2 linked regions of the Cricetulus griseus genome follow. The protein of the gene in region 1 purifies or fractionates together with the protein of each later gene. This does not show direct contact. Links are inferred from orthologs where the notes say so. Each region holds a gene or a part of one and is shown in the gene's direction. Other genes may lie near its edges.

Evidence for each region.
Region 2: the proteins of Tnfaip3 (region 1) and Rnf11 purify together in Homo sapiens (affinity purification with western blotting; 3 studies listed by BioGRID and IntAct, with this or other methods). This does not show direct contact. The link is inferred for Cricetulus griseus from reciprocal best matches to the Homo sapiens genes TNFAIP3 and RNF11.

What each region holds. Positions count from the first base shown.
Region 1 is NC_048595.1:270,723,894-270,727,943, forward strand, and holds the start of Tnfaip3 (tumor necrosis factor alpha-induced protein 3), read left to right. Parts: upstream 1-1,250; 5' UTR 1,251-1,487; coding exon 1,488-1,896; intron 1,897-4,050. UniProt on the Homo sapiens protein: Ubiquitin-editing enzyme that contains both ubiquitin ligase and deubiquitinase activities.
Region 2 is NC_048595.1:40,350,283-40,354,527, forward strand, and holds the start of Rnf11 (RING finger protein 11), read left to right. Parts: upstream 1-1,445; 5' UTR 1,446-1,902; coding exon 1,903-2,025; intron 2,026-4,245. UniProt on the Homo sapiens protein: Essential component of a ubiquitin-editing protein complex, comprising also TNFAIP3, ITCH and TAX1BP1, that ensures the transient nature of inflammatory signaling pathways. Promotes the association of TNFAIP3 to RIPK1 after TNF stimulation.

The sequences.
Region 1 (4,050 bases):
ATGGATGGATGGATGGATGGATGGATGGAGTAATGACAACATGAAAGAGATCCTTGCTACATCACCAAGGAGATGTAAATGTGATATTTATAGTTTTATCTCATCCCTACAGTGTTTTTGCCTAATTCCAGTTGCAAGAAATAACTGGCATCACACAAGAGAATGAGTTCTAGGCCTTAGCTAGCATTTAGATTAAGAATTCTAATGCAAATCCCTAGTAACAACCCTCTCTTTCAAGCTAGGCACAAAAATTTAGACCATTTTATCAGGCATAAGAGAATCTGGACCCACACGGGAGTGGCTTCTCTAATCTCTAGCTTTCTTCTTCTTGCATAGTCACCACACCGTTTTTTACCTGGTGGGTTTGCCTTGGCAGATAGCATGATGCCTGATGGAATTAAGCTTCACCATGAAACTCTTTAGGTGCTCTATGCCATTGTTGTCGTCTAGGAAATCAGGTTGTGTGGCCAAGTACCCTATTAAGGGTCCATGGGGACAGTGAAGCAGAACTGGCTCAGCATTGCTCCACTCTGGAAGGATGTCCCTGTGCATCAGTACACAGCCTTGCACAACTGGCTTGAGTAGTCATGTGGCTACTCATCATTGTCCTGAGTGGCAGCCTGGCCAAGATGCTTTTCCTATTTGCTTCTATATTTCATTTTCTCCATCGTTGCTTGTGCTTGGTCTTCTAGGTGAAGGATGAGGAAGGGGCGGTGTCTTAGGCATTGGTACCTGCATGTCAGCAATAAGAGTTTGTTGTCAGTTGAGTTGAAATCACGGGGCAATCTGGTGTCTTGTTTTTTCTGGGAGGTGTGGTGTACCTCATTATTACTCTGCTTTTTTGTCTCATGTTATGAAGTTCAGTGGCAGGGCTCTGAAGTAGAGCTGACATTTGCTCTTAAGATTGCAAAGCATCTTGCCAAAAAAGGCTTTATTTTGTTGTTAGTTATAAAACAATCTGGTGTTGACTCTTTATAAATATCATAAACTCCTGAACCAAGTATGTATTACTTTTCTTTGGGGGCCAGTACCATAGAGGAAATACCAGGCAGCAGCTAAATGCCACATGGGATTTCCATCAAATATTTGCTGCCTTTGTAGCATCAAGTAGGGGATGTTTGAGTGACCTGGATCTAGGTTCTGCTCAAGAGCAAGGACAGAATGGTGGTGGTCTTAGGTGGTGGACTTAGGACTCTGGTGAGCACTGTACTGACATTCAGAGGTCCTGGGTGACATCCAATGGATCTAAGGTTGGCTTTGTGGAGCAGGACCTGTCACTGACAGACAGACTTGGCTCCCTGACAAACTACTGAAAGCATGGGTTATTCCCCTCCTCCTCATTACCCACGCTCCGCCTCCCTTCTCTTGTTTAGACTAATCTTTAAAAGTGATGTAACTTAAAACAGTCCAGTGTGAGTTAATCTGCAGGGCCAGCTAGTATCCTAGGAGTAGAGGTGACTAAGATCTTTTACCTACAGATTAGAATAATGACAAGATCAAACACTGGGGTTTCTTGCCGACAGGTACATGGGAACAATGTTCAAGGCAGGCTAACGGAACGGGCTTTTCCCCTTCCTCTTCAGGCCTTGTTGAGGAGAACCATGGCTGAACAACTCCTTCCTCAGGCTTTGTACTTGAGCAATATGAGGAAAGCTGTGAAGATAAGAGAGAGAACTCCAGAAGATATTTTCAAACCTACCAATGGGATCATTCATCATTTTAAAACCATGCACCGATACACACTGGAGATGTTCAGAATGTGTCAGTTTTGCCCACAGTTTCGGGAGACCATCCACAAGGCACTCATTGACAGAAGCGTCCAGGCTTCCTTGGAAAACCAGAAGAAGCTCAATTGGTGTCGAGAAGTCCGGAAGCTCGTGGCTCTGAAAACCAATGGTAAGGCTTGTTCTTTTCTCCCAGCACCCTTCTACTGACCTGGGGGCGGGGGGGGGGGAGGTGTTTCTGCTAATGCTTCTCCATGAAGTTTTAATGCCATTAAGCAGACACCTATAGAAAGACCCTCCATAAGGGAAAGGTGATGGTCATGAATGTATTTGAGTCTGCTGCTGGGACAGGATTTCATTGTATAACTCAGGCTGGTTTTGGACTTGTGATCTTTCTGCTTCCAACTTCCGAGTGCTGGAATGGCAAGTGTGCATCTTTATATCCAGTTGGTGAATATTTCTATTTAAGGTGTTTTTAAGGTGTTTTCTGAGAGAGAGAGGGAGAGAGAGAGAGAGAGAGGGAGAGAGAGAAAGAGAGAGAGAGAGAGAGAAAGAGAGAGAGAGAGAGAGAGAGAGAGAGAGAGAGAGAGAGAGAGTTACAGTATAGAGGACATGAAGACTTGTGGAATGCATTTCTAAACCCCATTGCCCCAGTTGGGAGATTAATCTTCCTAATGCTTACATTGGCCAAATCATCTATAACCTTCACTGGCCAGAATGGAAAGGATTTAAAAGGTTTTAAGTTCAAAAGGAAAGTAGAACACTGAGAACCAGTGTCACAGTTGTTTGCCGCTGTCATTAGAAAAAACGCTTATGATGCTCTTGCTCTTCCTGAGTTGATGGCATTTTCTAGACTTGCAAACAAGTGGGTGTTAAGGACAGGGGATGCTTTTGTTTCTACTTCTCTCACCTAGGTTCTGTTGCCTAAGATAATGAGAGACAGAACTTCTCTACACACTGCTCTTGGCATTCAATCAACTGAAGTCCTTTACCTCTGATAACTCTTTTCTATGTCAAGTTTTACTGTCTTGTATTTTTTTTCCAAATCACATCCTTTGAGAAAGATTATGTACATGGTGCAGAAACAGCCAATGATATTGTTTCATGCAGTTACAGAAATTCTGCCTTTAGGGCATAGACATTTATTATAAGAATGGAGATTGTGTGAGATCAATTAAATACTTACAGTGTTGGTAAGAGTACAATCTCATTTTCTTGTATCAGTAACTGCATTCTGTGGGTCAAAATAATACATCCAAGAGGAGAAAATCCCTGTTGGCAATGATGGTGCTAGGAACGTTAACTTAATAACTTAATTGGTACATTAACTTCGGCTGTTCTTGACTTGAGTAACTTGGTGATGGGTTGATGTGGGCTTTTGTTTGTTTTGATTCCGGGGACTCTTGTATATCACCTCTACATCTTCCCTATATTTATGAAGCTTAGACTCTTAGAAATAGAGTCAAAAGAAAACTGGAGACAGTGATTATCTACATTGTTCTTGGCATTAAGTCAAGTGATGCCTCGAAGTAGATAATTATGTTAACTTGTCATCAAGGGGCTTATATACCTGACAGTTTGTGGTTTTCACCATGTCCCATTCTGTTACCGAAAGAGAGATGGAGTTGAGAGAATTAGAAATGGGATAGAGAAAGAAAAGCCTTATCTTGCTTACCATTCAGAATACTAGCAGACATTATATAGTATTTCCTTAACAGAGGAAATATCTGATTTCCTGGAGGAGAAAAAAAGCAATATAAATGCTAAACATTTCCTTTGCCATTTAAATCAAAAAGGGTTCATGCTACTGCTAAAACTACAAAAGCAAAGGCATTTTGGTAACATGTTGGGAAAATGTGGATTTGGGGTCCCAGAATCCTAAATTTTCTGCTTTGAAGAAAAGTTCTTAAAGTTATGCAAAAGAAAGAAAAGACCTTTGGGCGGGGGTGGGGGTGGGGTGGTGGTGGCAAGTGGCTTTCTTAGCATCTTTTCTTTCCTTTTACAAACCTGGCCCCTTTGGAAGGTTCCTTCACAGGCGGTCTATTTGGGGAGGGGGTGATTCAGGAGTCTGCATTTGAGGATATGAGACTGTGGTGAATGAGGAAGGGAGTAGGTGGCATAAAATTGAAACTTCATGAAAATTCCAGCGTCTATTGGCTGTGGCAATTTCACTTGTATAGTGAGTAGCCGGGTTCCAGCTCAGCCTGACCACACCCACTTGGAAAGTCCAGGGTGCAGTTCGCAGTTTAAATGTCTACACACCAGAACAAAACGTACAACAACTGTTGCTCAATTGCTAGTCAAATATCTTCGCACTGGGGAATTC
Region 2 (4,245 bases), about 230 Mb from region 1:
CAGGTTTTATAAATCAGTTGTGCTGGCATCAGGCCTGACAATAAGAATAATAATAAGTCAGTAAATGGTGAATAAAAACCGATCAAAGTCAACCTCTTGCCTTCTTGTTGAAGGAATGACTGTGGAGAACAGCCTCATCTGTCTTCTTTTCCTTTCTTTTCTTTGCATATGCTCTTTGACCATTTATTTGTTCATTCAACCAAGGAAAAGAGTCTACCTTAGGCAGCATGCCAGGCCTACACAGGGAAGGGACAGATCATTCAGCTTGATCCACCTCACAGAAAGGCACAGGGACTGGAAACTCCGAGGAGGAGACTAACCCAGACTGGAGGGTCAGAAAAAGCTTCCCTAGCCAAACAAAAATGAATCCAGGAAGGACTTTTGGGAATAATGATTAGCCCAATGAGGGGTAGAAGGTCAGAAGTAGGGTCTGTCTGTGGAAATCCCAGCCTTAGGGAACAGTCTTTGAGATAACTAAAAGCACTTTGGCCATGTTGGAGTTGAGAATTTATGAAACGGGGACAGTACTGCTAATAAAATAGGCGTTTGTTTGTTTGTTTGTTTGGAGACTGGGTGTTTCTGTGTAGCTTTGGAGCTTATCCTGGCACTCGCTCTGGAGACTAGTCTGGCCTTGAATTCACATAGATCCACCTGCCTCTGCCTCCCTAGTGCTGGGATTAAAGGCGTGCCCCACCAACGCCCTGCTGTTGGGTGTCTTTTTTTTTTTTTTCAAGACATGGTTTGTCTGTGTAGCTCTGGCTGTTCTAGAGCTCACTCTGTAAACTAGGATGGCCTTGAACTCAAGAGATCTGCCTGTCTCTGCATCCCGAGTGTTGGGATTAAAGGTGTGTACCGTGGAGATCCAGATTTCTTAAGATTATTCTGTGGGAAGTACTGAGAAGCTACTAGAAATTTTAAGTGCAACTATATGGCATTAAAAAACAAAAATCCTCAACCATTCAAAGGGTTGGGGGGGGCAATGATGAATGCAGGGAGACTGAGAATCAATCGACTGCAAACGTTAGATTGAGGGGTGGTGGGACTGGAAAGAAATGAAACAATCTGATAATCTCTTAGCTGTGTGATGCCGGGAGGGTAGAACAGAGATAGGAAACACAGGGCGTGGCATTAAGTGTGGACTTTATTCTGAAAGGATAAAGAAGAAGCTGTTTAAACACCTCAGCTATCTGCCTAATCCATTCACATGCGGGCATATAAACATCACCTCGCAGACAGAGTGAACAGTCTTTGAGGACGCTGCGCAGGTAAGGGACCAGCCTCACGCCGCGAGCCGGCAGGGTGCAGCCGGGATACAGAGGGGCGCCCGAGACTGACGGACACACAGTCAGCACCTTAAACTCAGCACCACGCAGGGGGCGGGGAGCAAGGAGCCCGAGGCGGGGCCAGAGCACGCACGGCGGCGTGACGTAGGCCCGGCTGGCCTCGTTCTGGCTGCCGCCGCCGCGCTAAGGCGGAGTAGGATGAGGCCCCAGGCCGCGGCTCCAGCGTCGGCAGGGGCAACAGCCGCTGAGGCAGCAGCTGAGGCAGCCGGGACGGCCGCGCCCCCCCCTCCTGACCTGGATTAGGCCCAGCAGCCCCGTGGCCGCCGCCGCCTCGCGGGGGGCGGGGTGGGGGAAGCGCTCCGTCTCCCCGCCCCCGCCCCCCTCAGGCTCCCGGCGCGACCCCGGCGCAGCCCGCGGCCTAGCCTCGCGCCCCCTGCCCCGGGGGCTGGCATGAGTGGCCCCTCGGCGGCGCCGGGGCGCGGGGGAGCCGCCTCCTGAGCCCCGGGCCTGCCGCCTTGGACCCCGCGGCGCCGGGCGAGCTCACCGCTGAGTGTGCGGGAGACCGGGTCACAGCTTTCTTCCTCCCCCAGATCTCACGCACACACCTCAGCCCCGGAAGATGGGGAACTGCCTCAAATCCCCGACCTCGGATGACATCTCCCTGCTTCACGAGTCTCAGTCCGACCGGGCTAGCTTTGGCGAGGGGACGGAGCCAGATCAGGAGCCGCCGCCGCCATATCAGGTACGGGAGGGTGTGTGTTGGCGTGAGAGGAGAGGTGGCTCGGGCCCTCTGCCCTTGGCCTCCACGGCCTGGCCTCGGGGGGCGTTGACCCCTTCGGGGCTGGTCTTGAGGGTGTCTGCTGCCCAGTCCCCGACTAGAGAAGGATCCTTCTTGCCTTCCCCTTGGGCACCGTTTGGGGACGGTGTTCTGTCCTTGAGTTCAGGAATCAAACTATGTGATCATATCCCCTTGGCTAGTGTCTGGTAGTTAGCTTGTAGAGTTAAGGATGACATGGTTTTCCTGCCTTTATGTCTTGAGTTGTGTGATTTCCTCAACAGACTGCCAACAGGATTATGGGTTGTGGGTAGGTTGTCACCCCCCCCCCTTTATAATTGTGTTTTCGTTTATAGTCCTCCCTACTCCCACCCTATCTTTGTTAATTGGTTCGGGAGAATGTCTTTTTACCATCTACTTGGGGAGGTAGAATTCCAAGTGGGAATTTTAGCCTCAGCTTCATAAAGAGTTACTTGTTTATATATACATACGTGGTAAATTTTAAGCTCCTCCTGTTTTTGCTCCACCCCTGTGACACACCTTTTAAGTAAGTTGATTTAATAAAACCTTGATTATCTTGAACTTTAGAGACCTTTCAGACATCTGTTACTTAAGGCCTTCTCTTTATCAAGACTCTTGAATGAGTCTTTCTCAGTGATAACTGAGTAAACTCCCAGGTGGGCTTGAATGCAATTCTTCAGTATTTTCCTGGAGAGAGGTGGGTTTTCTAACTTGGCAGTCTCCTTTGTTTTTTATGTGGTGACATCATTATCTAGTTTTGTGTTTTCCTTTCTCAATTCTGTGTAAACCAGTTTCCCATCATGTGATCACATACGCTGATTTTCTGACCCTCTTCAGGGGTCTTCCATGCACATTAGTCCAGTCTTCATTGTAGCCTCTACATTTCAAGCTTACCAAACCAGGCTGTTGACAATTCTGACAATTTCGTCTTCACTCCAGGTGATCTTGCTTCTAGGAGCCTTTGCCCCAAGGTTGCCCAGGTGAATATCTAATCCTCTTCAAGGACTCAGCTCACTATCTAAAGTTCTGACATTCCCTTCCTGAATTCCTGGAGGTGTCCCCCACAAACCTTCCACACTTATATAAGCAATACCCTGCCTATAATAGTTTAGTATCTTTGTTCAGGCAGTTGTGTGTCTCATCCTTGAAATATGTGTTCCCCTCCCCTTGTATAAGCTGAATTTGGGACATTTTCCAGGTGCTTTTCTACCCCAGCATCTGACTCATAGTAGATGCTCAATAACTGAGATAAATGAAGAATAGAAGCTCTGTTCTCACTGTTTCATGCAATTCCTGTCACATAAAAATGCAGTGTACCCCATTTCTCCCAACTTGTTTAAATTGCTCCAAGAGCAGACTTTAATACTAAATGGGATCTGGAATTGAACTGAGAGCCTTGTACATGCTAGCAAAACACTACAACAGAGCTATAATTCCAGTACCACCACCACCACCACCACCACCCTTTAAAAAACAAAACAAAACTGTTTCATGAAGTCACCAGACAGGCCCTCAACTTTCTGTCCTACTGTCTCCGCCTCCAGAGTTGCTAGAATTAGAGGCCTATACACCACTAGGCCTTTCTCTCAGGTATCTATAGCTTACTGTTTCCCCCTCTACGATAGCTACTCAAATGTATTAATTTAGGTGTCATGAGCAAACTTTTTCCTCCCAAAATCTATGCTTCATAGCCTCTTTCTAGGAAAATTGAATACCTGACTTGTTTTCTCTGTTAGAGTTTATAGAAACTATATTTTTGTCCTTTCTAGAGGGACTAGGTAGATCATGATGGGTTTTGGTATTTCCAGTATTTTTTGGAATGTGTTATTTTTGACAGTGGAAATTGTATTGTGGTTGCCTTTTCCTGAAATGAATGAGCGACCCGGATACTGATATGCAAAGTTAGTATCAGAACATAAAAAGAGAATTTTAGTCTGGCATGGTCGCTCATGCCTGTCATCCTAATGCTTGGAAGGAAGGCTGGGGCGGGAGGATTGTTTGCTGACAGCTCTACATAGTGATGTCTGTGCTGGTCTGGGCTATAGAATGAAATCTTATCTCAAGAATTTTTAAAAGAAAGCTGTAGAAATAATAATGCCTCCTTGAAGTCTATACTGTATTGCTAATATTTGTTTCTACATGACTTGGAAGCTAAAAGAAATAGTA